Linked DNA regions of Canis lupus familiaris. The protein of the gene in region 2 purifies or fractionates together with the protein of the main gene of each other region. This does not show direct contact. Links are inferred from orthologs where the notes say so. Each region holds a gene or a part of one and is shown on either strand. Other genes may lie near its edges. The genes, in order: USP15, SMAD2, TGFBR1, EP300, SMARCC1, SMARCC2 and SKIL.

Region 1 (3,025 bases), on a different chromosome or scaffold from region 2:
GAAACAACTTGAGTATTTGTTACGCTAAGAAGTGCAGTAGAGGAGGACTTAGTAAGGATACGCGGTGATGATGGATGGAGCAATATCCTTAAAACGGTAGGAAGAGCTGGACTCATAGCAAACTTCAAGTGAAGCCATTAGTAGTAGAAAGAAGCTTACCTTTTCCTTAGAGATGGGAGGGAAGAAGGCATAGAATTGTTTCATGTTAGAGTAGCTGGGTTAATCTGTGATATACTTGCATTTACTTATCTGTTCGATCAATGTAATAGAGAATAAAAATGTTAATTCTAGTGAGTATTCTTTCTTTATACATAGAAGTTGTCTTATATATAAACCAATTTTAGTAACTTCCATTTGACCCTTTGTGATTTTTAAATTTGATTTAGGCTCTGTCACCAAAGTCTTTTGGTTACCAGCTGAAACATTTATGGTATACTTAATGTGATCTTTGAGAATCATGACCATTTTAACATGCTTTGTTTTTTCAACAGTCCAAAGCAGCATATGTACTTTTCTACCAGAGACAAGACACTTTCAGTGGAACTGGCTTTTTTCCTCTTGACCGAGAAACTAAAGGTGCTTCAGCTGCCACAGGCATCCCATTAGAAAGTGATGAAGATAGCAATGATAATGACAATGATATAGAAAACGAAAACTGTATGCACACTAACTAATGAAAGTCCTAGAAGCCATAAAAGAGAGACTTTCCTGCTGGTGGTATCTGTTGAAATGATGAAGTTACCCACCACATTAAACAAAAGTCTGAGATGGGGAGTTTCAGATAACCGAATGTAAATCCTTTATCAGATTTTAACTTGTGCAGTACTTGAAGTGAAACACAATGAAAACTTTAACAGAAATTGTCTCTTAATACATTTACAGTCTTGTAATTACAAGCTAAATATATATAGGAAATCACAAATAAATCCCTTTTAAGTTTGCTGCTGTTTTGATGAATTATGTTTTCTTTAATTTTTTGGATGTGAGTTAATTGATGACAAATGTTAAATTTGTGGATGTTGGTCATTTATTTTGCTCTAATAATACTGCAAGAAAACTATGGCTGAACTTAGTTTTTGGATAATCTAGTTCATGTGCATTAGGCTGCCACATATATTACTACTATGATATTTAGCTGCGGTATCAATGTGGCATAAATACTGCAGTAGTATTCTTGGAAAACCAAATTTTCAAATCTATCCCTGGTAATCAATATGGGCCTATTAAAGAACCAAATCATGATATAAGAAACAATCTTGGAAAAGTTATTTTCTTTTGTAGTATCATTAAAAATCCAGATTATGTTCATCTTGCTGCTGTGGAAAACAGGTTCTAGATTTCACACTCCATCTAAAATCATTTTTCAGTTAAATGTAAGTATTTTTTACTGCTATTGGGATCTATTCCTTAGATATTCAAAAAAATTTTGACTTGCTTTAAAATGCATATCTTTAATCTGGTGTTGGTCCAAAATTAAAATTTTTGCTGTCTGTTTTTCTCTACCCCATTTTTTGGTAATTTGGCAACTTTTAGCTCTTCCAATTATTATAATATAAGGACAGACTTAATAGTATTCTGTATCCATAGTAATAATTACATCAAGCTTAGATGAGAAATTTTTTTAATATACTGGCCTTTAAATCATTAATGGACAATTGGCTTTAAAGGTAGGTCTGTTAACTTTCTTTGTGTGTTCCTGATGGAATTCACCATAGCCTTACAGCTTTTCTCAGAAGGTAACTTGTTAATTAAGAAAATTGGCATTTGCATGTTCTAGAGTCAGAACCTGTATAGTATATAAAGCATACAAACCTTGAATTTGATTTTAGTTCACCACATTCAAGGATCCAGGATGCCAAAAATATGTGTGAACATTTGAAACATTTTTCATTTGCTGCTTTTTCCCTTTGATCTAGTTGAAAGAATGTATTGTCAATTGGCATACAATACTGCCTTTAATAGAAAATCTAAATGCTGGGGCACATTTCACATATCGACTACCTGAGAAATTGCTTTGTGTCCCACTGTTATTAAAGCAAAAAGTATAATGTTCTTCACTTGAACTAATCAAATACAATAGATTATAAATTGTGTATTGTAAATAAAAGTTCACTCTGTGAGTGCACATTTTGGTAAATTATTTATTTATGTTAGCATTTAAAAGTTAAAAAAAAATGCATTTGACCAGGATAAATGAGGTATGTTGATCATGGCTTTGCTTTATACCTTGATATTAAAGCTGGTTTTTCATCCTGGTATTTTAAAAGCTGCTTTGGGTTTTTGTTTTTTTTTTTTTTCTTTTTTTTCTTTTCTTTTCTTTTCTTTTCTTTTCTTTTCTTTTCTTTCTTTTTTCTTTTCTTTTCTTTCTTTCTTTTTTCTTTCTTTTCTTCTTTTTTTTTTTAATGTAAACTAACCTCCTGCATGACAGAGGTTAAAATTTTGTCTGCACTTGAGTTCACTTGAGTTTACATTTGAAATGTGCATGTTTATTTATACAGATTTCAATAAAGCTATTTAAGGCCTTTTTTAGTCTTTTATTTCTTACTCTGAATCTTTTGATAAAAATCCCCCATTTTATGGGTAGGTGACTATATAATAGACATTTTAGTTAGTGTATAATTAAAAATAGAAAGGAAAGCATGTCAAAGTAAAGCAAATCCTATTAAGGATATGTTTCAAAGTTGATTTTTTAATCTAAATATTCATTAAACATTTGTGCACCTACTAATCACTGTTCTGTAGCTTTAAGATATAGCAGTAAAGAAGCATCCCTCCACTCACAGAGCTTGCAGTCTTTCTGCTGTCTACCAACTAATAGGCTTTCCATTTTTCTGAGGTTTAAAGAAAAACCAAAATTAACTTTTTCCAGCCCTGGATTATAGTCTCCACCTCAGTTGTCCATAGAGACCATTTACTTTTAATGCCTGTGATTAACTTTTATTCCCACTAAAAGAAGTGTTCTAAAATAGAAAATGTTGTTAATAATGTTGAATTTGTCAATGTCAGCTGCAAAAAAAAAAAACAA
Region 2 (4,162 bases):
CTGAAAAGAGAGAGTAAGCTTCAAGGCCTCTTGCTGTTTGAAACGGTCATCCGGTATTACCTGTTCCTAAGGACTGATGACGATGCGTGCTGGCCAGGGAGCCAAGAAAATGGTGTTTGTAGTGCTGGCTCTGGCACCGACAGCCTGCCCTAAGACCTAGGTCTCTCTTCATCTGTAGTCCTACGGTGCTCGCCGCCAAACATAGTAGATGCTTAGTAAGTAAATACTTGAACGTGATTAGTCGGGGTCCATGCTTCCGGCCGAGGCTTGGTGTCTGCAGGGTCAAAGCGACAAGGTTACGGCAGTGCGGATGCCCAGCCGCCCCCCCGGCTTTGGGCGGCCTGGACGGCCTGGGCGGCCGGCAGCTTAGGGCCTCCGGGTCGGGGCCTGCGAACACCGCCTGGACGCCGGAGAAACGAGGAGGAAGGGAGGGCCAGAGAGCGGTGAGGAGCATCGTGTTAGGCTCCTAGCGTCTAGACCTGGCGAGGGCCTCTCGGAGCATGCGGCAGTCGCACCACCTTCCGCGAAGGCGGAACCACGTCCCGGCTCTTCAGAAACACCTGGCATCCCCCCGCCCGCCGCGGGGGCCCGGAGAAGAGCCCCGCCAGCGCCGGTTTGCGGCTCGGCCCCCGCCCCGTTCGGCTGCACGAGGGCCCCGCCCACTCACTCGGCGCGGTCGGCCCGGCCCCGGCTCGGCGCGTCCTCGAGGCGGCCCTCGGGCCTCCCCCGGGACGAGCACGTGTCCGCTCGCGGCGGGGTCCGGGCGGTGGGCTCGGCGGCGGCCCACGGGCCCCACCCAATGGCGCGGGCAGGACGGCGGGGCGGGGCCGGGCCGGGGCCGGCAGCGCGGCAGGTCCCGCGCCTTCCCGCCGCGGAGCCGCCCGCGGCAGCGCGCCCCAGACGTCGCCAGCCGAGGCCGCGGGCGTGCCACCCCGCCTCGGCCCCGGCCGCCCGCCCGCCCGCCCGGCGGCCGCGCCTCGCCTCACGCTCTACGGGGGAGGCGGGACCAATCAGCGAGCGACGTCTCCCTTCCGATTCGAGGCCCCCGACGCGCGGCTCACACCCCGAGCACCGCGCGCGCTCATTGGCTGCGCGCGCCGCCGGTCCGGCCGGGAGGGCGGGGCGGCCGAAGGGAGCGGAGGTGGGGAGGTAGTGGCCCGCGAGTCTCCGAGCCCCGCTCGCGCCCCGGCCCTTCCCGGGCGCTCGGCCTCCCTCCTTCCCTCCTCCGCTCGCCCCGTCTTCCGTGCGCGCCGGGCGCTGCGCTCGGCCGGCGTGCCTCGCGCCCTAACGGGCGGCCGGGGGCGCCAATCAGCGGGCGGCAGGGTGCCAGCCCCGGGGCTGCGCCGGCGAATCGGCGGGGCTCGCGGCCCGGGGTGGGAGGCGGGTCTACCGCGCGGCCGCGGCGGCGGCGGAGCAGCTCCCAGCCAGCAGCCAGCGAGCGCCGAGCCAGCCGCCCGAAGGTGGGTGCGCCGCGCCGCGCCGCTGCGGCCGGCGGCGGAGGGCGCAGGGCGGAAGCGGAGGTGGGCCGGCGGGCGCGGCGGGGGAGGGCTCGGCCGTCCGGGCGGCCCGGGGCGGGGGGCGGGGGATGCGGGCGGGCTCGCGCCCGAGGGGAGGAGGGGCGGCGGCGCGGCGCGGCGGCGGCGGCGGCGGCGGCGGCGGCGGCGGCGGGACGCGCGTCCCCACCCCCTCCCTCCCGCGGGCGGTGGCCGAGCCCGCGTCCCCTCCCCGCGCGCGGGGCCGCGGGCCGGGCACTGGCTGGGGGGCGGGGCGGGCCGGGCCGGGCCGGGCGGCCGCGGGAGTGTTTTCAGTTCCGCCTCCAGTCGCCCCTTCCCCTCTCCCCTCCCAGCCCCTCATCCCATTCGGAAGAGGAAGGAACAAAAGGTCCCGGACCCCCGGCTCTGACGGGGCGGGACCCGGAGCCCCGGTGCAGGTAAAGCGGCGGCGCCCGGCGGGCCCTCGGGGTAGGGGTGTGTTTGCGTCGGGCTCGGGTCTCGGCGAGGCTCGGCGCGTCGCACGGCCCTGGGGGCCGGGGTGTGGCGGGGTCGGGGCCGGGGGCGCGGGGGGGCGCGGGGGGGCGCGGGGCCTGGGTCGGCGCCGGAGCTGCCCGGCCGTGGCCCGTCTCCCCTGCCGCGAACACGCTTCGTACTTTGTGGTTCTGATTTTCAAAGCCGGAGGGACCGAGCTCTTCTTGTTTCGGGAGTTGTTGGCAAGCCCTGGTAGGAGCGTGCGATACTTCGCTTCCACTTTTTTTTTTTTTTTTTTTGGTCCTGTAACCTTTGTTAACCATTCTAAACCCGGGGTTCGGAACTGCTCGCGTGTACTCTGCACAAGCAGGCACACGGCTGATCCTCCGTGGAGATCCTGCACTCACTTGTGAAAGTTGCCCTGGGAGTGGAGCCTGTTGGTTTTTATCACACGCCTTTTAGAAAGCACGCTAATTGATTTCACGTATTTCAAACTTGGTTTACACATTTGCAACCTTAATGGTTTTGTTCTCTCTTGGGGGATACTGTCCTTGGGGTTGGGTACTTTTGCCTTTTACTTACTTAACCTTTCTGTGGTTATGGTTTCCTTTTGATCCTAAACAAAAGAAAAAACAATACCTAGGTTGGTTTTGGTGTTCCTTCCTCTTGACCCCTTAAAAGCTAAATACTACCGGCTGGTTGTTCATTAAACCATTATTTTAAAAACCATCTCCGGGTGGAACGATTCTGGAAGTAGCATTTTCCGTGAAAACCGTGTCTTGTTTGTTACACTTTTAAGTGTCCTCAATTTTGCTGTCTTGAACTTCTAAAGTAACACATGTAAAGTAACTATTAATGAATAAATAAATGGTCACTGCAGACCTGCTTGGAGTTATTCCATTTTTCGAAAGTGCCCCCCCCCCCAAAATCTGAGTTAATTTACAGAATTTTTAATGATTCTGCAGTCTTAGTTCCTTTCCATTTTCCTTCTGAATTTTGTGTGAATTGAACCTGTACCACTGATTGTAAGGAAGTTTTTCCTTGAGCAGAATAAGAAAACAAATTTGCTACCACTCTGAAAATACATTTGCTATTGTTCTACTTTTGATTTTGACTCCCTTTAAAAAGTTTTTCTTAGGTAGAAGTGTAAGTTAAATAGTTAAATGAAGTTTGAGGAGTTTTAATGTAAATAAAGAGATAAGGGAAGCAAATGTAACAGTTGGGAGAGATAACGTGAAACGGATTTCATAAATGTGTCCTAGTTTGAAGATTTTATTTTTTCATTTGCTTTGAAAAAAACCATACAGGATATTGGTGGAATTTTTCTGAATCAGACGGTCATTTACCAAACATTTACATTAAATTTAGAAAGTAACGCTGACTTTATTTTTAAGGTTCCTTAGTTTTTGCCATAAAACTAGTTACGGTAGTAAATAAGAATATTTTGAGTCCAGGTGCTCACTTAGTTCTCTTAAAGTTGAGTTTAAGGTAGTTCAGTGGCCAGTTTTTATAAATGTGATAGGAAACATCCATTTCTGGGCTTGTTTAGTAAGAAATCGCTCTTTGGGCTTCGCTTTTGTACTTTGTAGCTATGCCTTCTATAGTGCTTTCACATTGTAGGTGTTCAGCAAGAGTTAGGTTTTCGTGGCTGTAACTTCTTACCTGTGCCTAGGCATAAGTGATCAAATCTCTACACAGTCTGTAAGGTTCATGTAATAATAGTCTTGTAAGAAACCATGCAGGGTAATTTCCTGTTGTTTGTGGCTTGTCAGGCCCGGTATGTGTTTTAACTAAGTAGGGATTTGGGGATGGTTTTGTGTATTTCAGCAGTCCTTTCTCTTTAATAGGAACAAAGCTGGTTTCTACTTCAAGATGGCAAAAGGTCCCCTTTTCATTTTCCTACTGTAAATATTAGAATCATATTGCCATAATCTTGTTACTTCACGTTGGGGGGAGATATGTGAGTGAAAAACAGTTGAGCTGCATCATCCACTGATCAAAGACCCATTTTTATATTTAGCAAATATTTTCAGTTTGGGCTTTTATAAATGTCTGAAAGCTCCCCTTATTCTTGTTTGGTTTTTATTCTGTTGGTTTTGTGCTTTAGGGCTCCAAAGGCCTTGTTTTGTAGCAGCTTTTTATACAGGTGTTTTTGTAATGCATATAAAAGCTGTATTTAGTGCAGTCTGGCAGATGGG
Region 3 (4,025 bases), on a different chromosome or scaffold from region 2:
TTCTCTGTTCTGTGGAACACAGCCTCCTCGGCTGTGTTTGTGTCTGAAGAGAGGACTAGTCTGACAGGAAGAATTACAAATCTGGAGCTCATTTTGGTGTCCCAGAGGGAAGGTGGGTGGAGCGTCTCACAGTAAATTAGGAATTCAGAATGAAAACGTAGCCGAGTTTATTTGGGTTTCTAGTGACACCTCAGAATTATTGTGCAGGCGTGTCAGAGGCAAGTCAAAGTATTGACTGCTCCCCCTCCGCCAGGGGAGGAGTGCTGCGAGCCAAGAAGGGGAATCCTCGTCCTCTGGGGCGGGGGGGTGTGGTGAGGGGGTGGTGGGGACCTTCCTTTTCCCACCTGGATCCGGAAGGGGTCAGAAGGAGGGAGTGTGGTTTGGAGCCGGGTGCTGGGTCTGCTCGGAGTTCCGGAGGGAGAGAGGCTGCGGGGGGGGGGTGGGCTGAGGGGCTGAGGGAGGAGGGGGCGTGTCCGATCTCAGGATCCGAGGCCTGAGGCCGGGATTTGAGGACTTTCGGGGCCTGGAGTGTGGTTGGGGTCAGACGCCGACGGCGGGGGCGCGGACGGGCGGCGGTAGGCGGGAGACTGAGGCGTCCGTGGAAGGCACCGAGGCAAGATTTTTCCGGGCGGCGGGGCGGATATCGAAAGTTGAGGCGTGGGTCTGGGAAGTGGAAGTTGAAGCCTGCCCGACGACCCCGCGGATCTGGGTGCAGGTGTTGGGGACGCGGGTGCGGGGCTGTGGATGGGGTCGGGGTCAGTGCTGGATCTTACGCGCTTGGAGAGGTTGGAAGAGCGTCGCGCGGCCACAGCCTCTTCCCGAAGGCGCCTCACAGCCAGACACCCCTGTGGCGCGACCCCCGGCGTCCGCGGCCGGAGGCTGGCCCAGGCCGGGGCGCCCCACACCCTGCCCCCGGCCCGGCCTCCGCGCAGCCGGGGGCGGCTCTGGCTGGGGCAGGGGTCTGGCAGCACGGCCCCCGGGGAGCCTGGGGGCGTGGCCAGAGGCCGGCGCCCGCGGCTGCGGATTGGCTGTCCGGCGGGCCGGTGGGCGGGGCTCCGGGCGGGGTCCCGCTCGGCCGCTCGCGGAGCGCCGGGAGGCGGGGCCGGCGGGAGCCCGGCAGCCAATGGACGCGCAGCCCCGGAGCAGTTACAAAGGGCCGGAGCGAGGCCGCCGCGGCGGCGGGAGGTGGGGCGAGGCGAGGCTTGCTGAGGCGAGGCGGCGGCCGGGCCGGACCGGGCCACAGGCGGTGGCGGCGGGACCATGGGGGCGGCGGCCGCTGCTCCGCGCCCCCGGCTGCTCCTCCTCGTGCTGGCGGCGGCGGCGGCGACGCTGGTCCCGGGGGCGACGGGTGAGCGGCGGCGCGGCGGGGCTGGCGGGCGGCTGCGGGGCGCGCGGGCCGGGCCCGGCCTCTGGCTCGCTCCCTCTCTTTCTCAAACATGGCGCGGGGCCGGGGGCGCAGGTGGCGGCGCGGGGCCGGGGCCGGGGCAGGGGCAGGGCCGGGGCCGGGCTGGCCTGGCCTGGCGGCCGCCACGCGAGGCGCGGGCGGGGAGCGCGGGCGGGGCGGGGCGGGGCGGGGGCGTGTGTCCGAGCGCGCGTGGACGTGCCCGGCCGCCGGCGGTCGCCCCTGCTCCGGGCTCCGGGCCGCGGGGGGGCGGCGTCGACGGGGCGGAGCGCTCGGCGGCCGGGGCTGCCTTCCGAGGAGCGAGGGGGCGCGGGCCGAGCGCCCGGGGGTGTGCGTCTGTCTGGCCGGGCCCGGCGGAGGCGGGGCGCCCCGCCCGGAGCGGGAGGGGGCGCGGGGCTCCCGGGGCTCCCGGGCGGGGTAGGGGAGCGGCGGGGGGGGCGGTGTGCGGTGGAGACCCGGGGTCACAGGGCCGCCGCCCCCCCCCCGCCCGCCCCGGGGGCTCCTTTTCCAGCCGGGGCGGCTTCGGAAGGGGAGCCTCCAAGCTTTGTGTGAGAAGGAGGAGGCACGAGGATGTGCGGAACGTTTCTTCCGTGCGTCTGGGGAGCGTTGAAGTGCATCCAGTAACCAGGAGGCTACAGATTGTTTTTCGTAGTAGAAACTTGAACGTTTTGCTCACTCTGCGGGGTTCGGAACGTTTGAATGGGAAGGACTCTCCGGATTGATCGAACGCTTTTATTTCCTCGAAGGAACGTCGCCGGTGATGTTCCTTTTCTCGAGTGACAGTAGTTTCGAATCCGGAGTCCCTCCGTGCGGTTGGTTTTCCAGGGAGAACGTTTGCTCCGTTTTCCAAAAGGGTTAAATCAGGATGGGGTACGTGGTGTCCTGACCAGCCTCCGTGGGAGAGAGAAAAACCGTTAGCATCCAGACTAAAATACTAGAAACTAAAATATAGATCCTCAGTGTTAGAAACTAAATTACAGTGAAAGTACATTTCTGTTTCTAAAATTGAATACCAAATGTTTAAAAAACAAAGAACTCCAAGAATGAGACTGCCACTAGTTACTACTGTCTGTGAAGAGCTTCACCATGGTGTAGATGCGCGAAGTACACCGAAGTGCGTTATCTAATGCTGACCGTGAAACCCTCCTAGTGGCATTTGCCCCATTTTATAGATGAGAAGACTGAGCTTTGAACAGGTTAAGTACTCCATGACTAAGGACTGGAGTTAGGATTTGCACCCAGAGTCCAGTGTTTCCAAAACCTATACACCTTAATGTATATACTCGTCTGGCACAGCCCGTGTTTCTTTTCACGTTCACTAATGAGCAGTTGGTCTTTACTGTTCACTTTTTGATTTTACCCTCACAATATGAAAATGAGGTTGACTTCCCAGTACATTCCTGGAGTCCCTTCATACTAGGCCTGGGTTAGAGGAAACCGTGGATTTTTGACATTGGCCTAGGGCGTGGGGGCAAGGTATATTAGGGGCAGGTGGGAGAATCAGTAGTTCGTGTATCAAGCAAAAGTAGCATTTCTACACCACTGTTAACTAGAATAGCATAGTTCCCTCTTTGTAGCCTAGCACACTAAGTGTTCCTGTATTCAAGGAACAGTGTTGGACTTAATTGCTGCACAGAACATTGCTCAACCCGTGCTGGGGAGGAGCTTACAGACTACAGTGGCATGTATACAATACAGAGTTGATCCAGGTGCTGTTATTCTTAAGCCTACATTACCTCAACTGGACTGCCCACATTTGCTGGTTATGTTGATGTTGATCATTCATATATTCTAAAGAAGGTCAAGTGCAATTTTAAATTTATAATTTGCCTTCCTTTTTAAGACCTTGCAGTTGTTCCTTATTGTCTGGGTATCGGTTTTGTTTCCCTCTGACCAGCTTCTCTAACATAGATTTCTCTGGAGAAATTGGTTCTCTGGCCTTAGTACACAGATTAGTACCGTACCAGATGTCTACATGGATATCTCATGTGAGAATCTGGTTTCCTTTCTGCCATCATGTAAGTTTTTTCTTTGATAACATGCGTAGAGCCCAACTCTTCTTTATATCAATGCCTCTTGAATGTCTCTTCCTTTCTTTGTATACAGCCATCAGTTTAGTGTCCTGTTATCCCTTGAATCTGTTTGCTTTCCAGTTTCTCTCATCTAGACTTTTCTGTAGGTTATGGCCAAACTAATCTTCCACAGCCATTCTCACAAAGGGTTTATAAGAGTTTCCATTTGTATTCAGCAACACTTAAGGCTTATGATTAGGGCCATTTCTGAGTATTCAACCAAAAATCTCACTTCTTATTACTCTAACCCTCCAGTTCCAGCGATTTCTGTTTTTCCACTGACTCCTGACTTTTTAGCCTTCTAACTACATACTTCCTTTTGCCCCTTTTGGGAGTGAGAAGTTCTCAGTTTTGGCTTCATGTACTGGTTTAGTTCCTGAACTCTTTATTTCCCTGAACTGTATGTATAGCGCTTACAGTTTGTATTGTTGTTTGTATTGTTTATTTCTACCATCTCGCACTGTTATTTATCTGTACTTTGGAATGGTACCCAGAGGGCAAAGGTTATGCCTTTTATTCCTTTATACTTTCAGAGCCTAGCGCTGTGTTTT
Region 4 (3,500 bases), on a different chromosome or scaffold from region 2:
GACCGCTTTGTCTACACCTGCAACGAGTGCAAGCACCATGTGGAGACCCGCTGGCACTGCACTGTCTGCGAGGTAGGCCCCGGGGGTGGGGAGCAGAGGGCGCTGGGGTGGGTGGGGGGCTCCAGGTTCCTGAGAGGCAGGAGAAACACTGGTGACAAAGGCCTGTGCTCGGGGCCATTGGTGAGTAGTAGCGCAGAGTGGGAGGGGCCTGGTCTTATATTTCAGTGGTAGCGCTGAAGAGTCTTTCTCTAGAAGGGGGTTTTGGGCCCTAGCAGAATATGTAGACTGTTTTTTTAATTACTTAAATCTTGGAGAGTTGACTGTGCCTGTTTCCCCCCCAGGATTATGATTTATGTATCACCTGCTATAACACTAAAAACCATGACCACAAAATGGAGAAACTAGGTCTTGGCTTAGACGACGAGAGCAACAGCCAGCAGGCTGCAGCCACCCAAAGCCCAGGAGACTCCCGCCGCCTGAGCATCCAGCGCTGCATTCAGTCCCTGGTGCATGCCTGCCAGTGCCGGAACGCCAACTGCTCACTGCCCTCCTGCCAGAAGATGAAGCGGGTGGTACAGCACACCAAGGGCTGCAAACGGAAGACCAACGGGGGCTGCCCCATCTGCAAGCAGCTCATCGCCCTCTGCTGCTACCACGCCAAGCACTGCCAGGAGAACAAGTGCCCTGTGCCCTTCTGCCTCAACATCAAGCAAAAGCTCCGGCAACAGCAGCTGCAGCACCGGCTCCAGCAGGCTCAGATGCTCCGCAGGAGGATGGCCAGTATGCAGCGGACCGGGGTGGTGGGGCAGCAGCAAGGCCTGCCCTCCCCAACTCCTGCCACTCCAACCACACCGACTGGTCAACAACCAACCACCCCGCAGACACCCCAGCCCCAGCCTCCCTCTCAGCCCCAGCCCACTCCTCCCAACAGCATGCCACCCTATTTGCCCAGGACTCAGGCTGCTGGCCCCGTCTCCCAGGGTAAGGCAGCAGGCCAGGTGACCCCTCCCACTCCCCCTCAGACTGCTCAGCCACCCCTTCCAGGGCCCCCACCTGCTGCAGTGGAAATGGCAATGCAGATTCAGAGGGCAGCTGAGACGCAGCGCCAGATGGCCCACGTGCAGATTTTTCAAAGGCCAATCCAGCACCAGATGCCCCAGATGACTCCGATGGCCCCCATGGGTATGAACCCACCCCCTATGGCCAGAGGTCCCAGTGGGCATTTGGAGCCAGGGATGGGGCCCACTGGGATGCAGCAGCAGCCACAGTGGGTCCAGGGAGGTTTGCCTCAGCCCCAGCAGCTACAGCCTGGGATGCCGAGGCCAGCCATGATGTCAGTGGCCCAGCATGGTCAGCCCTTGAATATAGCTCCCCAGCCAGGACTGGGCCAGGTAGGTGTGAGCCCTCTCAAACCAGGCACTGTGTCTCAACAAGCCTTACAAAACCTTTTGCGGACTCTCAGGTCTCCCAGCTCTCCCCTACAGCAGCAACAGGTGCTTAGTATCCTTCATGCCAACCCCCAGCTGTTGGCTGCATTCATCAAGCAGCGGGCTGCCAAGTATGCCAACTCGAATCCACAGCCCCTCCCTGGGCAGCCTGGCATGCCCCAGGGCCAGCCCGGGCTGCAGCCGCCTACCATGCCAGGCCAGCAGGGGGTCCACTCTAATCCAGCCATGCCGAACATGAACCCCATGCAAGCGGGCGTCCAGAGGGCCGGCCTGCCCCAGCAGCAGCCGCAGCAGCAACTCCAGCCACCCATGGGAGGGATGAGCCCCCAAGCTCAGCAAATGAACATGAATCACAACACCATGCCTTCACAGTTCCGAGACATCTTGAGGCGGCAGCAGATGATGCAGCAGCAACAGCAGCAGCAGCAGCAGGGAGCAGGGCCTGGAATCGGCCCCGGGATGGCCAACCATAACCAGTTCCAGCAACCCCAAGGAGTTGGCTACCCCCCACCACCGCCGCCGCCACAGCAGCAGCAGCAGCAACAGCGGATGCAACATCACATGCAGCAGATGCAACAAGGGAACATGGGACAGATGGGCCAGCTCCCCCAGGCCTTGGGAGCAGAGGCTGGAGCCAGTTTGCAGGCGTATCAGCAGCGACTCCTCCAGCAACAGATGGGGTCCCCTGCTCAGCCCAACCCCATGAGCCCCCAGCAGCATATGCTCCCAAGCCAGGCTCAGTCCCCACACCTCCAAGGCCAGCAGATCCCTTCTTCTCTCTCCAATCAAGTGCGCTCTCCCCAGCCTGTCCCTTCTCCACGGCCGCAGTCCCAGCCTCCCCACTCCAGCCCTTCCCCAAGGATGCAGCCTCAGCCCTCTCCGCACCATGTCTCCCCACAGACCAGTTCTCCACATCCCGGACTGGTAGCTGCCCAGGCCAACCCCATGGAACAAGGGCATTTTGCCAGCCCGGACCAGAGTTCAATGCTCTCTCAGCTCGCTAGCAATCCAGGCATGGCAAACCTCCATGGTGCAAGCGCCACGGACCTGGGACTCAGCACCGATAACTCAGACTTGAATTCGAACCTCTCACAGAGTACACTAGACATACACTAGAGACACCTTGTAGTATTTTGGGAGCAAAAAAATTATTTTCTCTTAACAAGACTTTTTGTACTGAAAACAATTTTTTTGAATCTTTCTTAGCCTAAAAGACAATTTTCCGTGGAACACATAAGGACTGTGCAGTAGCTGTTTGTGGTTTAAAGCAAACAAGCCAGATGAACCTGAGGGATGATAGAGTACAAAGAATATATTTTTGTTATGGCCGGTCCTGCCGGCCTCTTTTTTTCCCTTGTGTGTGTGGTTCAAGTGTGCACTGGGAGGAGGCTGAGGTCTGGGAAGCCAACCACACGCTCCTGCCTTGCACCTCCAATAGGTTTTATTATTTTTTTTAAATTAATGAAAATATGTAATATTAATAGTTATTATTTACTGGTGCAGATGGTTGACATTTTTCCCTATTTTCCTCACTTTATGGAAGAGTTAGAACATTTCTAAAACCAGAGGACAAAAGGGGTTAATGTTACTTTAAAATTACATTCTATATATATATAAATATATATAAATATATATTAAAATACCAATTTTTTTTCTCTGGGTGCAAAGATGTTCATTCTTTTAAAAATGTAAAAAAAAAAAAAAAAAAAAAAAATTTCCCCTTTCCTCCCCTGAAGTCAACTTTTGTGCTCCAGAAAATTTTCTATTCCGTAAGTCTGAGCGTAAAAACTTCAAGTATTAAAATAATTTGTACATGTAGAGAGAAAAATGACTTTTTCAAAATATACAGGGGCAGCTGCCAAATTGATGTATTATATATTGTGGTTCTGTTTCTTGAAAGAATTTTTTTCGTTATTTTTACATCTAACAAAGGAAAAAATTTAAAAGAGGGTAAGAAACGATTCCTGTGGGATGATTTTAACATGCAAAATGTCCCTGGGGTTTCTTCTTCGCTTGCTTTCTTCCTCCTTACCCTGCCCCTAACCCCCCCAT
Region 5 (3,500 bases), on a different chromosome or scaffold from region 2:
ACCTTTCTATAACAAAGCTGTAAGGATTCATTTAAAACCACAATCACAGATTTGGTATAAGAAACCCTGATAATTTTTTTTCATCTAGTTAGACATGGTATATTCTTTTGGCTAACTTGGCAATTGCTACCATTTGTAAATAGTTCCAGTTCTTGGCAGTCTCTTGTTTAAAAGCACAATTTAGCATTTTAGTTTCCGTAAATCTAAAAATTTATCTTTAGATCTTTGTTTATCCACTTGTCCATATACGAGAGCTTTTTTGAGCAGGGTACCTTCTCTACTCTGATGTAGTCACCCTTAACTTGCTAGATTTTTGTTTTACTTTTGTGGTGAGAACTTTTGCTAGCTCTCTAGCTTCTTTTCACTTGTTTTAAATATTTTGTCATAGAAATGCTTAGGGATGTTGTGAAATCTGCTGTGACTCAAAAAATCAGTTTCTCTCTCTCTCTCTCTTTTTTTTATCTGTTCTTGTCTTAGCTTTGATTTTGCCCTCATGGGTTCTAGTCCTTGCCTAACTGGGTATATAGCCACTGACCTGACCCACATGTAGCTCTAGGAAGAATATAGAGATGAGATGGAACATGTGTTAAGAGCATAGATTCCAGAGTATCTCCCTCCACCATGTTGAATTCTAGCTCCATAGTTACTAGCCTTGTGGTCTAGGACACAGTTTTTAATCACTCTGTGCTTTAATTTGCTTGTTGATAAATGAGATGATAGTAGTAAACCCTACTTTATGAAGAAATTGTGAGATTTAAATGAATTATGGTAGGATACACAGTAGTTGGGAGACAGCCTAAGTGACCAGGTGTTATTTGCAAATTCAGCAGGGAACTAAGGATTTATCCATTCACCACTGTGACCACTTTTGTATTTATGTTCACATTACTATTATCATCATCATTTTTAAGCGAACTCTACCCATTGTGGGTCTTGAACTCCCCTCCCCAAGATCAAGAGTCACATGCTCTATCAACTAAGCCAGCCAGGCGCCCTGTGTTACTTTAACTTCATCAGATTTTACTCCATTTTATTTATTGTTTTTAAATAATAGTGGGTTTTCTTTTGCATATTAGGGGTTTTTATCCTTAGTTACATTCATGACTGTAAATAGTCAATACTATTGTTGGTTGGAATATTGACTTTTTGGTGGATTTGGTTGGAATATGATAATTTTGGGCTCTGTGAGTTGTTATTTCTGAAAGGATGTGTGTCTGCCTTATGAATTTTGCCTCTGCTTTTTAGATACTTGGCATATCGAAATTTTATGATTGACACATATCGCCTAAACCCACAAGAGTATTTAACCAGCACTGCTTGTCGGAGGAACTTGACTGGAGACGTGTGTGCTGTGATGAGGTAAAGATGCCTGAGTTTTTCTCAGACACTTCACTTTAGGTGGTTACTGATGCATTGCTGTTTAATGTTTGATGAAACAAGATCTTTTCTTTCTTAATAAAATACCTTAATCAAATATCTTTTATTTAGTTGTATATTTAATACCGTGGCATTTTCTCCTCATTTTAAGATTTTTATAACTGACATCTTTTGTTTTATAATGAAATCCTAAAACGACCAGGGATGGAGAGTGGATAAGCTCTGTACAGTAGATCTATCTAAAGAAGCAAATCACATGTGAATCTTCTGTTTGAATTTGGTCTGTGTGTGAGTTCTTTCACCATGGACTTCAATGAACATTTGTTCTCTGATTTCTGTGATTGAAATAATTAGGCTTTGTACTGGGTTTTGGGGTGCTTTGCTGTCAATATTTTTTTTTTTTTAATTTTTATTTATTTATGATAGTCACAGAGAGAGAGAGAGAGGCAGAGACATAGGCAGAGGGAGAAGCAGGCTCCATGCACCGGGAGCCCGATGTGGGATTCGATCCTGGGTCTCCAGGATGGCGCCCTGGGCCAAAGGCAGGCGCCAAACCGCTGCGCCACCCAGGGATCCCGCTTTGCTGTCAATATTATTTTGAATTTACAGAAATTGTCCCTCATACAACAAACCAAAATTGTTAATTAACTTTATGATGGTTCATAGCCTGCAGAGAACATTTACTTGTTTTGTTGTTTTTATTTTTTAATGAAATGCGATAATGGTTATGAAGGAAATGAGATACATTCCCTAGATTTTAACTTTATGAGCTTTACTCTTCCAGGGTTCATGCCTTTTTAGAGCAGTGGGGGCTTGTTAATTACCAAGTGGATCCAGAAAGTCGACCCATGGCAATGGGACCTCCTCCTACTCCTCATTTTAATGTGTTAGCTGATACCCCCTCTGGGCTTGTGCCTCTACATCTTCGATCACCTCAGGTAACTTAATTATTACATTAATATTATAGTTTTAGTATTAGTAATTATTACACTAAAAAACTAGTATCAGGCATTATTATTACACTGATTATACACTGATGTGTGAAACTTCTTCCCTTTCCTAACTTTTGGAAAGTGGATATCCACACACATACATTCTTGAAAAGATTAGTATGTTAACCAGATTTTATATAGCCTTAAGTTAGAGTAGCATGAGTCTAGGGCAAGAATTGTTCTTTACATGAAATGGTAGAGCATATTAAAGAAAATCTGTTTACTGTTTTCTCTGGGATTTAAGAGAGGCAGAAAAATGTTGCTTATATAGTATGTTGCAATGTTGGAAGTGTAGGGCAAAGGTTTGGATATTTATTTTTTTAATAAAATCTCCTTACATGTCAGTATTAAACAGTACTGTAAAACCTTCTATCCCCCCTTACTTTGTAGAGGTTAATACAGCCATCTATCATTTGTCCAACTCCTAGGTCCCTGCTGCTCAGCAGATGTTAAATTTTCCTGAGAAGAACAAGGAGAAACCAATTGATTTGCAGAACTTTGGTCTTCGCACTGACATTTACTCCAAGAAAACCTTAGCAAAGGTAAGGACTTTTTTCTAGAAACAACTGGGCTGCAATCCAGCATGTCCTCTTCTTTGTCCTAAGAAGTGTCATTTTTCATAAGAAACTTAACTGTCTATAATGTAAAAGGGTACACATTCTACTTACTCTGTTGGCATTTTATAAAACAAGTCATTTACCATTTTTTCTGTATGGTTAGAATGGTAGGTATTTTAAACTAACTCTGATTAATATGTTAAATAAAATGAGAAAAAGTGGAGAATTTCAGCATAATTGGAATCTATACAAAGAATCAAATGAATATTGGATAATTAAAAAAATACACCCGAAATTAACTCATTGGGTGATTTTAGCAGCAGGTTGAGCACAACAGAAGACAGGATTAAATGAGCTCAGACTGGGGGTGCCTGGGTGGCTCAGCAGTTGAATGTCTGCTTTTGGCTCAGGGCGTGATGCTGGATCCGGGATTGAGTCCCACATCGGGCTTCCTGCATGGAGCCTGCTTTTCCCTCTGCCAATGTCTCTGCCTCTCTCTGTGTGTCTACATTAATAAATAAATAAAAATCTTTCTAATAAATAAATAAATAAGCTCAGACTGGGTAGTAGAGCC
Region 6 (3,500 bases), on a different chromosome or scaffold from region 2:
TCAGTTGGTAGAGCATGCAACTGTTGATCGTGGGGTTGTAAATTTGAGCCCTGTGTTGTGTGTAGATGTTACTTAAAAATAAAATCTTTTTAGGGGTGCCTGAGTGGCTCAGTCAGTTAAGTGTCTGCCTTTGGCTCAGGTCATGATCTCTGTATCCTGGGACCCAGCCACCTGTGGGGCTCCCTGCTCAGTAGGGAGCCTGCTTCTCCCTCTCCTTCTCCTTCTGCCCCTACCCCCTGCTCATACTGGCTCTCTGCCCTTTCTAATAAATAAATAAAGTTTCTTCAAGAAGTTTAGAGTTTACATCAAAACTTTATAGTTGGGGGATCCTTGGGTGGCTCAGCGGTTTGGTGCCTGCCTTTGGCCCAGGGCACGATCCTGGAGTCCCGGGATCAAGTCCCACGTTGGGCTCCTGGTGTGGAGCCTGCTTTTCCCTCCTCCTGTGTCTCTGCCTCTCTCTGCTTCTCCCTCCTCCTGTGTCTCTGCCCCCCCCCCTCATAAATAAACAAATAAATAAATAAATCTTAAAAAAAAAACTTTATAGTTAAAAAATAATAATAAAATAAAATCTTAAAAAAAAAAAAAAAAAGATGTATACTGGGACCAGACCACTCCTTGGAGGTCAAGCACAGGCTCTTGTCTCCTTCAGCTCTTCTCTTAAGGGCCCCCAGACAGGGGCACCTGGGTGGCTCAGTTGATTGGATGTCTGCTTTCAGCTCAGTTCATGATCCCAGGGTGCTGGGATTGAGCCTGGCATCAGGCTCCCTGCTTAGCGGGGAGCCTGCTCCTCCCTCCCACTTGTGCTCTCTCTTACACTCGCAATTGCTCTCTCAGATAAATAAACAAGATCTTATAAAGGGGGGACCCACAGACAGCTGTGGCTTTCAGGCTTCTCTCCAGCACAGTCTGCCTTTTGTACTTCAGGTTCATGCAAAGTGGATTCTGGACACAGACACTTTCAATGAATGGATGAATGAGGAAGACTATGAAGTAAATGATGATAAAAGCCCTGTCTCCCGCCGAAAGAAGATTTCAGCCAAGACTCTGACGGATGAGGTGAAACTTCCTCTTCTTTCTTCCCTGATCCCTTAGCACAAGCATGGGGATAAGTCTTCAGTGGGGATTGTTGGCTGACATTCACTCCAATTCTCCAACCTGCAGGTGAACAGCCCAGATTCAGATCGACGGGACAAGAAGGGGGGCAACTATAAAAAGAGGAAGCGCTCCCCCTCTCCTTCACCAACCCCAGAAGCTAAGAAGAAAAATGCCAAGAAAGGGTATGCCAGCCGCTACCCTGCCCCACCTTCACCATTCTCTCCATGTTGAAGGAAGGAAGGATAGACTCCTTCCTGTGACTACCTGGCCCTGACTGGGGTCGGCCCTGCTCCTGTAGGTGTCCTGAGAGGGAGGGTGAGGTCTTCTTTAGCTGCCCACTTGTTAGTTCTAGTTGCAGCCACTAGTGACCTCAGAGTGACATCTTCAAGGGAAGACCTTTGCACTTCCCTGTCCTCTGTAGTGATGCATGTCTATGCATGCTTAGCTCCCCCTTGGGGATTCTCTCTTGCTTTACTCCCCTTGAACCTCAGCTTCCAGGGACTCCTTGCTTAAGGGTGACCAGGTTAGCTTTCATTACCTTTCCTCCCCTTTCCTCCCCAGTCCCTCAACACCTTACACCAAGTCAAAGCGTGGGCACAGAGAGGAGGAGCAAGAAGACCTGACAAAGGACATGGATGAGCCTTCACCAGTCCCCAATGTAGAGGAGGTGACGTTACCTAAGACAGGTACGGGCCACACCAAGCTTCGGGGACCTACCTTCCTAGAGGGCTGATTTCCCAGGCCGAGCTCCGGGTCTTGAGGATCTGGCCCTTCAATTTAGCTGTTTATTAAAATTATTCTCAACATGGGCAGTCCTCTGACTTGAGCCACATCTGAGTTGTGTACTGTGCTTGTACCTGACAGTAGTTGTTTCTGAACTGTTTTTGATCACTTACCCCCTTCAGTAAAGTATTTGATCACAGATTATTATTATTATTATTTTTAAAGGTTTTATTTACTTATTCATGAGAGACACAGAGAGAGAGAGGTAGAGACACAGGCAGAGGGAGAAGCAGGCTCCACAAAGGGAGCCCGATGTGGGACTCGATCCCAGGACCCCGGGATCATGACCAGAGCCGAAGGCAGATGCTCAACCACTGAGCCACCTGGGTGCCCCTTGAGCATGAGTTATATATGTGCTGCTGTACCGTTGCTTTAGGAACATCGTGAGACACATGCAAACATTATCTAAAAAATGGGAAAATGTAAAGGATAAACTGAAAAAAACAAATATAAAGAGAAGTTCTGTTATTCTCTACCTGTATTCCACTGGACCATCTCTTGCCGTCCTGTGTGAGAACCCCACTTTGGAGACCATTGCTTTGCAATGATAGAGAGTTGTATAGCTGCAAAGGTGGACTGCGATCTGTATTCCATAGACGAGCTCCGATGTCAAGGAGTGTATTTCAGGGGTTGCGGTGGGGGCTACTGAGAGAGAGGAGTGCTGGCCTCAACCCCCTTCATCAATCACGGCGGCTCTCTTCCATATTCGTGTTTTCTCCTGAGCTGTTGTGTACGGATTCGGTTAAGAGAAGCCCCCTTGCTTTCAAAAATGTTGGCGATCCAACCAGTCCTCTCCAGAGTGATTTGGTCAGACTCTGTCTCAATCCATTAAGAGTTCACAGACACACAGATGGAGATAAGAGGGGCCTGTTAGAGACAGGAATGCTTGATGAGTGTCCGTAGAGTGGAAGATGCTTCTGTATAGGAAGAGTTAAGTGACCGTTTGGCAGGGGAAGGAGGGAAAGTGGCAGTTGAGTTTCAAGCCCCAGAATGACTGTGCCTGGAGGGAGTTACCGAACCCTTTTTGTGATCAGAGATCTCTTAGAATTGTTAAAGGTGGAGAGTTAAAGAGTTGATTCGGGCAGACCCTGTCTGATAAAATGACTCTCTCTCCTGGCAGTCAACACTAAGAAGGATTCAGAGTCTGCCCCGGTCAAAGGAGGCACCATGACTGACCTGGGTAAGGAGAGGAGGCTCTGCGGCCCGCTTCCCCTAGCCTGCCACGGCTTTTCAGAGGGCAGGACTCTTGCTGCTGCTCTGGAGGCTCCACTCCTGATTTGCTCACTCTCTCTTTCAGATGAACAGGAGGATGAAAGCATGGAGACCACGGGCAAGGTGGAGCCAGTTTAGAGAGGCCCTCTCTACCTCTCTATGGGATTCGGATTTGCGCTTCTAAAGTTCCTTCTACCCAGAACTTTCTACTGCCTAGGGTTTTCCCACCTTAGTCTAGTTTTAGCTGTTGTTCAGAACTCAAAACTCTGACCCTTTCTAGGTCTTGGGGCCCTTAACAGTCCATTCCCATGGCATCATTAGTTCCCACTTTCCCGGGGTGTGGGAGAAGCAGAGGGTTGCCAGGGGCATAATGGGAATGCTGAGTGTCCAGCGGCCTCCATACTTTTAGG
Region 7 (3,500 bases), on a different chromosome or scaffold from region 2:
GAGCCAGTTCCTCACTTAGAACACTGACCTTATACCACTTATTTCTCCCATCTAAATATAGCTACTAACTATGCAAATTAAATGTAGCTATTAGTCATGCAAATAGTTTGGTGATCATTACTAATATAATTTCCACCCTTGGAAATAGTTTAACAGTTGCTACATTTCAATCAACTGCCTATTGAGTTTCATAATTTTGTTTTTTCAATCTAAGACAATACTTTGACTATGTAAACTATATAAACATACTGAATTATCAAAATATATTGAATTACATTAGCATTCACAGTAAGCATAAGGTACTTTACATAAGAGATTAATATATTTAGTATACTCTTGTACTTAAAAAAAAAAAAAAGAGAGAGAGAGAGAGAGAGAGAAAGAAAGAAAGCCTGTCTTGACTTTTTCAAATGAGTTTCCTCTGGGTCTACTTGGTTTGTTTGGCAACCGACTCACTGACTCACAGAAGATAATAAAAAATGTTCCCCAGTCAAGGATATCTCCTAGCCGCCCCCCTCCCAGTTATATACCTTAGTTTATAATTCAAGTTAATACAGTGTTTATGAACCAGTATACTTAGGGAAATTGATAGGAAAAGTTACTGTTTCTCAAAATTCAGTTTCTACTACTAAGTTTGCTTTAGGGAAAAGCTGTGAAAACTACTAGATGTCAAGTCAGAAGAACTGCATTGGACTCCTGACTCCACCACCCACTAGTTATACAACCTGGAACATGTGACCCATCTGGGGCTGGTATCTCATCTGAGAAGCCTTGTTCACAGACCTTCAAGAAAGAACTACCTCACAAAGTTTTAAGGAGTAAACTTTCAAAATATGAAGTGGCAAGCATGATAAACCACTCAAGTATATACATATATATACACATACACATGAAGTCAAAAGTTTTCTTTCCTAAAGATTTGATTACTAGAAATCTTCCTAAATTTCCTTAAATTGCTGAAAATTCACATAAAATTGGAAATACTAACAAAATACACCAAAACACTGAAGTAAATCTGCAAAAAGGTAACATAGCCAAAAGGTGAAGGAAAAAATCTCGGACCTTCCCAAATAAAAAAATGAATTCAAATAAATAATTTCTGAGACAATAAAGGACTACATCCAGATGAAGAATGGTTTCAATTTTACCCAAATCCTGGCACATTCAGTTTCGGTTAAGTAAATTCATCATTTTTCTTTTTAACCTTTATCATTGGCTCTCAGATGCTTTTTCTCACAAACGCAGAGCAGGAATATCAGGCAAAGTAGTTTATCCCAAAAATGCTTATGTTAGAGCAATGAAGATTATTGGAGCAAGAACATCTGGCAAGTAATGTGGTCACCTATGGGCATGTAAGAGTAGGGCTCCTAATTGACTTAGGGCAAGATACCACAAATATCAAAAGGAGCATGCCACGTTTTGAGAATGTAGATAATTTCCAAGCACAAACTTCAGCGTGGGGCCAATCCAGCTGTAAGCAAGTCCTGCAATTTGGGAACTGGCCTGAAGTCAATCCTGCTTTAAAATCAGTCAATAACTGCACATGAACAATATACACTTATCTAGTAGCCACAGGCAAGGAATCTCAAAGTGCTGACCCTTTGGAAATGGCAAGTAGCAAACTATCCTGAATTCGAGTCTAAAATTACCCTCTTGAGCTTCAGAAGCAAATCATAGTTCTAAAACTAAACTGTAACTAAATTTCCCTCAAAACCTTAAAGGTACCATAATAAAGCACATGACACCAAATCTTAGGCTCTAGCCCAAGTTCTAATGTTGCTGTGAATAAGCCTCAGTCATTTAATACGCCTCATTCATTTCGTCTGTGAAGTAGAAAAGGCAGAGATTCTTTCGAGAAATAAAAACTAAGAGTGGAAAAATTAGATTCTTAAAATGAAACATGGCCAATCTTTTGTTGTATGAATCAAATAAAATTATACACGTAAAACCGCTCAAGAACATTTGCCACATTGTAAGTGTTAAATAGTGCTAGCTCGTATATGGATTTTAATCAAGTAGAAAAGTATACGTTAAAACCAGATCAACAAACTGGATATTTAATAACCCAAATCTTGTTTTACCCGGGCATTCAAACTCTTAGAATGAAGATCTTCAGATACCAGATAATGTGGTGGAAACATGTTTACGATCTCCATACTGACAGATTTTTATATTAATATTTAGTCTAAAAATATCTTTTTATTCTAAAGCTATCATATTCTTTTAAAGTTATTTCTTTAAAAAAAAAAAAAAAACTTGCTTACTGGAATCACAGATTCTTCAGATAAACCTACCTTTTCCATTTATTTCCAATACCGATCAAGCCTAAATACCAGGTACAGAAACAGTGTTAGAAATCCCAGATCTACCTTTGAAAGATGCTGTTTGAAGCCTACAACCAGGATTGTTTTGGCTAGCTATTACACCATTTGCAAATGGAAATAACACCAAAGTGTAAATTATCTCCAGTCCTAGGACAACAACAGATCTAGTCATCAAAAAGCAGGATGTGTGAAAAAGAAAGAGAACATGACTTGAGAAAGAAGCCCCAGATCCCCCACTCCCTGGCTGTATAATCTTAGGAAAGCCACTTGATCTCTCTGAGCCTCATTCTCTTTATCTGTAGAATGGGAATAATCCTACTTCTTGCACTAGGTTGTTTGGAAGATCAAACGAGCACATACACACACACACAGGAAAGCACTTTATAGCCTAAAATGTGTAACACAAACATAACACATTACAGAGACCAGTATTTTTTGTTGTGTTGTGTGAGCAGGAACAGCTTCTTAATGCACAGGTTAAGCAATAGTCTAAATATAGCCTTGATTTCAAAGTGAACCTCTGCCATTATTCAAAATTACTATTTAAACAGAACAAAACAAAACTTGCCTTGGATTGGGTTCTCTTTCCGTTTCTCAGGCTAAATTTCTCCTTCATTTCTTCTAAAATTATCTTCAGTTTCTTTTCTTCAGGTGTCCCTAAGTACTTCTGGTTCACATGGAGATAGCAATGCCATTTGGCGGACTCGAAGCCCCAGTGGCAAGTCCTTTTGTCAGGTGATCTGTGAGAATGCATCACAAATGTCTGGGGTGCAAACATTCCACAGCACTCCAGGCACTGAATGCACGGAGCATCAGGCTGAACGTAAAACTGGGGTGCAAAGAGACCCTGACATTTGCCCAAACATTCATGTTCCACTTCAAAGGCACTGCCAGTTTCCTTTAACTGGGCCAATGAGTTTTTCGCAGGAAGTACGCTACCGTTTTGGGGAAAAGTGCGTGGCCGCAATAAAGCGTTACATAGTCTCTGTGCGTCAGTTAACGTGATCAGTCCGCAGGATGGGGCATTGAATGGAAGTATTCCCAGGACCTTTAGGATGTGAAGCTGGTCTGAAGTACACCGTGAACAATAGATGTACAATTCGTCACACACGGTATTTATCTGCTGGAGCGAAAATTCTCGGAGAACCGAATTTAAGACTTGGGGCAAACAGAGTC

What was found.
Region 1: the proteins of SMAD2 (region 2) and USP15 purify together in Homo sapiens (affinity purification with western blotting; 4 studies listed by BioGRID). This does not show direct contact. The link is inferred for Canis lupus familiaris from reciprocal best matches to the Homo sapiens genes SMAD2 and USP15.
Region 3: the proteins of SMAD2 (region 2) and TGFBR1 purify together in Homo sapiens (affinity purification with western blotting; 8 studies listed by BioGRID and IntAct, with this or other methods). This does not show direct contact. The link is inferred for Canis lupus familiaris from reciprocal best matches to the Homo sapiens genes SMAD2 and TGFBR1.
Region 4: the proteins of SMAD2 (region 2) and EP300 purify together in Homo sapiens (affinity purification with western blotting; 4 studies listed by BioGRID). This does not show direct contact. The link is inferred for Canis lupus familiaris from reciprocal best matches to the Homo sapiens genes SMAD2 and EP300.
Region 5: the proteins of SMAD2 (region 2) and SMARCC1 purify together in Homo sapiens (affinity purification with mass spectrometry; 3 studies listed by BioGRID, with this or other methods). This does not show direct contact. The link is inferred for Canis lupus familiaris from reciprocal best matches to the Homo sapiens genes SMAD2 and SMARCC1.
Region 6: the proteins of SMAD2 (region 2) and SMARCC2 purify together in Homo sapiens (affinity purification with mass spectrometry; 3 studies listed by BioGRID, with this or other methods). This does not show direct contact. The link is inferred for Canis lupus familiaris from reciprocal best matches to the Homo sapiens genes SMAD2 and SMARCC2.
Region 7: the proteins of SMAD2 (region 2) and SKIL purify together in Homo sapiens (affinity purification with western blotting; 8 studies listed by BioGRID and IntAct, with this or other methods). This does not show direct contact. The link is inferred for Canis lupus familiaris from reciprocal best matches to the Homo sapiens genes SMAD2 and SKIL.

Annotation. Positions count from the first base shown.
Region 1 is NC_049231.1:5,996,448-5,999,472, forward strand, and holds the end of USP15 (ubiquitin carboxyl-terminal hydrolase 15), read left to right. Parts: intron 1-491; coding exon 492-674; 3' UTR 675-2,525; downstream 2,526-3,025. UniProt on the Homo sapiens protein: Hydrolase that removes conjugated ubiquitin from target proteins and regulates various pathways such as the TGF-beta receptor signaling, NF-kappa-B and RNF41/NRDP1-PRKN pathways.
Region 2 is NC_049228.1:43,687,275-43,691,436, forward strand, and holds the start of SMAD2 (mothers against decapentaplegic homolog 2), read left to right. Parts: upstream 1-1,362; 5' UTR 1,363-1,460; intron 1,461-1,846; exon of another isoform or gene 1,847-1,930; intron 1,931-4,162. UniProt on the Homo sapiens protein: Receptor-regulated SMAD (R-SMAD) that is an intracellular signal transducer and transcriptional modulator activated by TGF-beta (transforming growth factor) and activin type 1 receptor kinases.
Region 3 is NC_049232.1:56,498,754-56,502,778, forward strand, and holds the start of TGFBR1 (TGF-beta receptor type-1), read left to right. Parts: upstream 1-1,225; 5' UTR 1,226-1,260; coding exon 1,261-1,348; intron 1,349-4,025. UniProt on the Homo sapiens protein: Transmembrane serine/threonine kinase forming with the TGF-beta type II serine/threonine kinase receptor, TGFBR2, the non-promiscuous receptor for the TGF-beta cytokines TGFB1, TGFB2 and TGFB3.
Region 4 is NC_049231.1:25,034,750-25,038,249, reverse strand, and holds part of EP300 (histone acetyltransferase p300), read left to right. Parts: coding exon 1-72; intron 73-341; coding exon 342-2,564; 3' UTR 2,565-3,500. UniProt on the Homo sapiens protein: Functions as a histone acetyltransferase and regulates transcription via chromatin remodeling. Acetylates all four core histones in nucleosomes. Histone acetylation gives an epigenetic tag for transcriptional activation.
Region 5 is NC_049241.1:41,659,012-41,662,511, forward strand, and holds part of SMARCC1 (SWI/SNF complex subunit SMARCC1), read left to right. Parts: intron 1-1,245; coding exon 1,246-1,359; intron 1,360-2,161; coding exon 2,162-2,315; intron 2,316-2,797; coding exon 2,798-2,911; intron 2,912-3,500. UniProt on the Homo sapiens protein: Involved in transcriptional activation and repression of select genes by chromatin remodeling (alteration of DNA-nucleosome topology).
Region 6 is NC_049231.1:846,729-850,228, reverse strand, and holds part of SMARCC2 (SWI/SNF complex subunit SMARCC2), read left to right. Parts: intron 1-924; coding exon 925-1,056; intron 1,057-1,161; coding exon 1,162-1,277; intron 1,278-1,656; coding exon 1,657-1,781; intron 1,782-2,998; coding exon 2,999-3,058; intron 3,059-3,175; coding exon 3,176-3,213; intron 3,214-3,499; coding exon 3,500-3,500. UniProt on the Homo sapiens protein: Involved in transcriptional activation and repression of select genes by chromatin remodeling (alteration of DNA-nucleosome topology).
Region 7 is NC_049255.1:35,132,076-35,135,575, reverse strand, and holds part of SKIL (ski-like protein), read right to left. Parts: coding exon 2,893-3,500; intron 1-2,892. UniProt on the Homo sapiens protein: May have regulatory role in cell division or differentiation in response to extracellular signals.